Drosophila melanogaster: one gene and its partner. The protein of the gene in region 2 interacts with the protein of the main gene of each other region in a pairwise test. Each region holds a gene or a part of one and is shown on either strand. Other genes may lie near its edges.

The links.
Region 1: the proteins of CG11581 (region 2) and CG14369 interact in a two-hybrid assay, tested with the Drosophila melanogaster proteins (one large-scale study listed by BioGRID).

What each region holds. Positions count from the first base shown.
Region 1 is NT_033777.3:13,590,901-13,594,228, reverse strand, and holds CG14369 (uncharacterized protein), read left to right. Parts: upstream 1-1,571; 5' UTR 1,572-1,614; coding exon 1,615-1,953; 3' UTR 1,954-2,597; downstream 2,598-3,328.
Region 2 is NC_004354.4:14,175,191-14,179,221, reverse strand, and holds CG11581 (uncharacterized protein), read right to left. Parts: upstream 2,300-4,031; 5' UTR 2,276-2,299; coding exon 1,271-2,275; 3' UTR 766-1,270; downstream 1-765. Other genes in the region: CG1368 (uncharacterized protein), read right to left, coding at 3,694-4,031.

The sequences.
Region 1 (3,328 bases), on a different chromosome or scaffold from region 2:
ACAAACAGCGGGCCATGACTTTCTTTTATAACAAATATATTCATTTCATACTCGTTCGGAGGCAACAAATCGCGTGACATGCTGACAGCGGTACTTGGCCCTCGTGTTGCTGTTGTTTCTGCTGAATTTGTTGAGTGGAGAGTGTAAAACTCAACTATTGTCTTCATTTTTCTTGCAAATCATGCAAGGCAATCTAAAATGTTGACACATTGGCAAACACATATGTGGTTGTATGTTCACGCCGACATGGGCAAATCGGCACATATTTATATATTGTAGTATAGGGGTGAGGAGTACAACGGCAGCCAGGAACATTGTACACAAAAGAGGGTAAGAGAAAAAAAAGAAAGAAAAAAAAAAAATATTTGGCGCCCTTTTTGCCCATGTCACTCAAGTTCAAGGTTTACACGCTGTCGGTTAAGGTTACGCTTTTATGTATTATCGCTGAATTGTCACAAGTCTGCGCTTTGTCTCGCAACGAGCGCTTTGAAAAATTACAATAATTGTTATTTACGCATATCTGAACATGAAATGTGTCAATTGGCAGCCAACGAGCTAGCAAAGCGAACGCAACGCAATGAAAGAACGCAACAACGTGGCGTATGCGTAATGTGTGAAAAGGGACACAAGGTCTGGCACTTTTGTCGGGCGGCAAATGAGTGGTATTGGGTGGTGTTCGGTCGGAATGGCAGTAGTGAGGGTATTTGCGACGAGCATCAGACAAATGCTGTCAAGCCTTCATAATTTGGTTCATAAAGCGATTTAGGTATAAGCTTCGAGAGGGTGTTGTGAGTCCCTGGTCAAGCCACAAAGCCACATTAAATGATTTTTCTCGGTTCGAGTAGGTTAAATAGGTTACATAATCCTAAAAATTCGTTTTAAAATTGCACCTTTCACATAAAACAGCAACATGAAAGTATCGTGTTCGTATTGATTGAGTTATACAATTTTCCCGGCTTTATTTCATATGACTTTTTGCAATCGTGTTTTGACTGCTCCTGAATTTTTTATAAACAAATTTTAATTGCCTCCAATTAAGATACTTAAAAACGAACACCTATCGCATTGAAAATAATGTGCTTGGTTTTTCATTTAAAGTTGGGAAAACATAGCTATAGAAAAAAAGTTCTGCATAATTTAATGTTAATAAATCTATTAGCAGTATCTTTATTTATATTAAAATAAATAACATTAGGGTATCCAATCTTCATTGCATCTGCTGTTTTGAGTTCCTATGATTCTATACCACATTGATTGGCTCGACTAATACGTCACATTTGTTAGAACCTTTTTTTTGTCTTCAGCTCTTGTACTGCTTTTTATTGGCCACCAATTTTTTGCGGGCGTTCTGAATGAAGGCATTAGCATTGGCTTCAATTAGCGAGCTTTAAATTTAAAAACAAACGCCAATGGTGTTGGCATTAAATTCAATCGAAGTACTCACTCTACATATAAATAGGAAACAGCGGCGGCTCTTTGACTGGCAGTTGTGTGGAAATCATTGACGCGGTTTGTCGATTGAATTAAATATAAATATCATATTTTCATCGTTAAATTAAATAATTAAATATGCCATTGCCATTGCAATTGCGATTGCTGTTGCTGCCTCTGGCGATGATTTTGCTGCTGGGCACGCACTTGAGTGGCGCGTCGGCTGTTGACAAGGATGTGGCACCAGTTGGCTATGTAAAAACGGATTTGCTGTCATTGGAGCAGGAAATTGGCGGCGCTGCGGATTCGCAGCGAAATCTGCTTCCGGTTCGTCGAAGGCGTGGCATCTTCTTCAGCGGCAGCATCGGCGGATTGCCGTTCCTCAACTGGGCCAGTGGCTATTCTTGGGCATATCCTGGCTATCCGTACAACTACTATGGCTCACCATCGCCTGGCTATTATGGTTATGGCAGTGGCTACTATCCCGGCTACCTGGGCTATCAGAAAATTATCATCGGTTAATGCAGATTTGTGAGAGAACGAAAAGACAGAGCGAAAAATCGATTAGAGAACCCCTTTTCAATGTGAGATTATAAATAATGGCCAGGAAGGAGCGGCGTCGACCCTTTCGCAGTTTGTTATTTTACTTATTGTTGGTGCTTTTAAATTAATTTGCCGGACACAGGGAAAAAGTTGAGCTAAGTTGAAGAGGTGGGGCGCGTATAAAAAAAAAATGAAGAACATGAAATTGCACAATTTATATTCATTTTGCACAGATTTTGCATAAATCATTTCGCAGCGACCAAAATGAAACGCGTAACATAATTTTTAACCCTTGATAATTTTTTATGACAAGCATTTTCGTTATTTTCCCTCCGTGGGACCACCTTATTTGTTGCTGCTGTTGTTGTTGTGGGGCCGCAGCGAAATGCAAATAAAGCGGATCAAAAGTTTGCTGTTAAAAGAAGATTAATTGCAATTTGGTGGCAAGACCTGAAACATTTCGAACCCCACAACAACCCATCGAAAATCCGCTGCCCAATCGGCGCGGTGGGCAATGGGCGGTTGGTAATTAAATATTTTTAAGCTGTAAATGGTTTCCATTTACGTGATGCTGTTCTTATTTTGTATTTGCAATCAATAAAATTCATTAAACGCACAACAATAACAACCAACCAAAGAAGGGAACCAGCCAAATCAAATAAAATACATTCCTCAACGGTCTTAGTTTCAATTGCCACTCCACCGGCAGTTGTAAATTGTTACTCTATTATAAGTGCTGTCCTGCAGTTGTTGCAGTTTCGCAAGTGGCTATTGTTTATTCATTCAGATTTATAATCATTTTATTGCCGAGGTATGCTCAATTTTTTAATCAATTTACATAATTTATGCCCTTTTTATGAACTTCACTCCCAATGGGATCAGATGAACGCATTCGGTTTGTGAATTGTTGAAGAGAGCGCAGCGGAAAATGTTTCAGTTTTGATAGTTGATCTGCTATAATATTGAATTATCGTTATACAAGCAGTTGTCACGTTGTAAATCATTAAAAATTAATTATCGATTCAACAGGACTGCTGTAACAGCAATGGTGATTTTTGCCTTAACAGTCTCACAAACTCAATGGAAATGCATTTTTATATTGCCTGCTAAATGTTAAAAATGATAGAAGTATTAATTAGTGGGCGAATTGAAATAATTGTATCCATATATAATTATATAAAACTAAATTGATTTATTTTTTTGGTCATACATGGACGGATATTTAAAATCTTCAACATACATTAAACCATGATTTCAATTTAGAGTTCTGCTTAATATTTCAAGAGTTTTAAAATTACTTTTAGTTCTATACGATAGGGAAACTTTGTTTTAGTTAATTAGTATTTGAAGGGAC
Region 2 (4,031 bases):
AAATGAATGTTAAGCAACCAGAAGTAAATAGCAGCACTAAACCGCCCAACTGATGTAAGTTGATAAACCACTTGATGTAAGTATATGAACCAACTAATGTAAGTTGATGAAGCGTGTCATAAAAGGTGACAAAAGCTCTCCCAAAAGACAAAAAGACATTTTTTACCATTTGGCAAAGCCATAAAAAAGTTGTTATAAAGACTTTTAATGTATTTACTGTATAACAACAACACAATCAAAAGCCACATATAAATAATTCAGTGGAGACATCAAAAAAAAAAAAAAAAGATGAATAAAAAATCAATTCGGGCTAGTTGAAGTCTATAGACTTTTGAAACCAAACATGGGAGTTGAATAAGTCTGGTTTTAAACTATGGAAAAATCCCCTTTTCGATAACCATCTTAAGTTCACGAAAAGAAGTTCATTATCATAAATGTATGTATGTTCTTTAGGGGAAACTCTTTGACGTCAGAAACTAGTTTGGCAAATTAAAAAAAAAAAAAAAAATATCGCGAAGCTAAAATTAACTCAGAAGGTTCTTTGAATTTCGCTGAAATTAACTTAAATCGATTAAGTTTGCCCTTTAGGTGGGCAGCTTCTTTCTCTACCTCTTTTCTGTGACGTCAATTCAAAATTTATACATGTAAGACAATCATTTGAATTTATTCGTTTTTAAGTTGGATTTATTTTAGAATATGAAATGATAAACATAAATCCATTTTTAATGATCCATTGTTGTTGCATGATAAACTATTACTGCTTTTAAGTTGTGGATGTTTTTTTTTTTAATTCTTGTACCATTTTGTTTAAACTTAATTCCATCCAGAAACATATCAGAGTTCAATAAACCTTGATGGTGAATGTGCATAATTATCGTAGGACTTCGGTTTTAGTCCACACCCAAACCACTAATCGTGTTTTTTATTTCAGCCTTTAATCGCCTTGTATTGACTTTTGAAGACAACATAGTTTATGAACACATATGTGTCTGGCCAGGGTATGCATAAAACATAGGTCTGTCTATATATATGTATCAATCACGACGATAGATTGTCTCGTTTATGGTTATCAGTCAGTTTTGGCAAAGATTTCGATTAGCATAGAGACAATCGTTTTGTCTGTCCGCATCTTTATGGCCAGCAGATCAAATAAATGAATAAAAACAAAGGCACAAAAAATACAAGAAAAAAAAAAAACAAAATATGGATCATAATTTATGGCGAACATGTTTGATGAACTCCCCAATTTGGGGCTTCGAAAGCCATCGCATTACTTGGCCCTCTTGTAGACATAGCCGCCATTGGATGCGTAAACCGTATCCGCCACACTCTTGGGATCGTCGGCCGATGGTGGTGCCACTACTGTCCTCTCACTGTCCTTTGGTTGCTCCTTCGCCGGCTCATCGGAGTAGCCCGGCGGAGCGGGTCCTCCGAAACCGGGTCCAAATTGTTGGTAGGGATTCTGGCCGGGCACAGGTCCGCCGAATCCTGCGGGCACATTGAATCCTGCTGGACTGGGTCCTTGGAAGGGACCCTGGGGATTTGTGAGGGGAAGTCCCTGGTTTGTCAAGAACTCCGGTGGATATGCGGATCCTGGGAAGGGCCCTCCCTGTGGCGGGAAGTTACCTCCTAGGAAACCATTGCCCGGTATTCCCTGTGGCCCGAAGGCACCTCCTTGTGATGGGAACACTCCCTGCTGTGGTGAGAAGGGAGCTCCTTGCGTTGGGAATCCATTGCCAGGGATGCCTTGTGGCTGGAAGCCAGCTCCTTGTGGGGGAAACCCACCTGCCTGCGGGAAACCACCTGGCTGGGCAAAATTACCAGCTTGCGGACCGAAAGGACCACCTGGTGGCAGTTGGAAGGCCGCATTCGTAGGACCCCCTGCGAATGCGCCTCCATTGGTAGGACCCGCCGGGAATGCACCTCCGTTGGGATAGGCCGAAGGCACTGGCCCAATACCATGTCCTCCTCCCTGCTCGACAGGACCTCCGCCGAAGCCGTAGAATGGTGGATAGATGGGCAGAGGGAAGTTTGGCGGCTGGACAGGCTGTGGCAAAACGTTGCTGCCCGTGGGAATGGCATAGCCCGGCGGCAGTGGCAGTCCAGTCGATGGATAGAATCCAGATGGATCCTTCTGCACCTCCTGGCCATCAGCAGCAGACCGTGTGGTTGGCTCCAGTTCCGCACTGGGCGGTATATATTCCCTGGGCAGGTGACTCACATCTCCGTTGATCAGGGGCAGAAGTAGGACCACAACGGCCCATGGCTGCATCATCTCGAGCTCCGGTTTGATCTCTGGGAACTTGCACGGCGACGGTGGCTATGCGGCCACGGGCCCCAAATCCGCCATATATAAGACGGCATATCAACATATTACATAAATTCGCGGCCGGCTCATTTCACTTTCGCATTCGGCGAACGGAAATTGCTTTGCATCATCACAAAGGTTCCATAAATAATCGCCAATCCAAAGGTGATCGAAGGTGCGAGGGGAGGTGCCAAAACTGAACTATAAAATTTAATTTAGCGGCCGGATTTTACATAAATAAACTAACGCCGAAATCGAATGTTAAATTCAGCATCGCACAAAGAAAAGAGGCGATAATGAAAAAGATTCAATAAACGAAAAGAAAGAACAATGAAAGGGTAACATTTTATTTGATTTAGATTCAAGTTCTTGCTCAGCTTTATGATGAATATTAAATTTTAAAAATTACTACCTGAAAGCAAAAGGGTGTTAATTAAAAACAGGAAAAACGTCGAGGAGGTTCGTTTTATTTACTGTAATATACTAAATAATGGTTTTGAATGATTTCAAAAAGTCTTGAGTAAATAATTTTTCAGAAATGCCAAGCACTCTCAGAAAATGTATCTGCAAGTCATAGTTTTGAAATACTCAAAAGCTTAGTGTTAAAACTAGGAAAACCATAAAGTTTCATGCTATATTTAAACTAAAAGCTCTTTGAAAATGCTTAAAATAGTCGCAGCTTCCAAGTTTAATCAAAGCTGCAAGCTGTTTATAAAAAGCCCAACTTAATTAAAGCTTTATATTATATTTTTTAACGCTAATACTTAGTTAAAACATTGATGTATGTTAAATGTTTATGTTCTTGTCCTACAGGTTTTAGTGTTAACTAGTCGAAGAATTAAGCTTTTTAATTTTGAAAATTACCATTATAGACTAATGCCAATAAATCTTCTTTACTTTGTATGGACATATCATTCGTATACTTTATTATATTTTTATTGGCTTATAAAGTGCCACCTTTTGTCTACTCTGAAGTATTAAGCACCAACAAGCACTTGCTTTTGACGTTCGATTTTGAAAACGAACCGCACTCAAACCGCATCAAAACCGCAACAAAACCGCACCTAAACCGCAACCAAACCGCACTCAAGTCGCGCGTGGTTTTTAGTACGCTATTTTGGTATCCTGGTCCGGAATTTTGATATAAAGTGAATAGGGATACACTTGTTAAAAATTTTATTAATATTAATATTAGACGCTTGTTTTTATAACTCTGAAACCCATTTTAAAAACAAAAGTATTTATTTGGATTATTGATGTTTCGGTTTATTTCGTTGTAAACAAAAGTTTACAAAACAAAAAAAAAAAATATATGGTTAATTTGGGCAGTATGTAGTTATGGACACTGTTTCGTGTTCAGTTGCAGGCCTCTTCGTTGAAGATCCCTACTTCCTGTAGACGTAGCCACCGTTGGAGGCGTACTGGGTGCCCACATCCACGGAGGGTGCAGAGTAGCTCACCGATGGGGCGGAGTAGCTGACGGCAGGAGCGGAGTACGACTGCTGGACAGCAGGGGCGGAGTAGCTGACCGATGGAGCGGAGTACGACTGCTGGACAGCAGGGGCGGAGTAGCTGACCGATGGAGCGGAGTACGACTGCTGGACAGCAGGAGCGGAGTAGCTGACCGATGGAGCCGAGTAGCTCACAGAGGGTGCCGAGTAGCTAACAGAGGGGGCGGAGTAGGTCCTCTGGACAGCTGGTGCGGAGTAGGTCCTCTGGACGG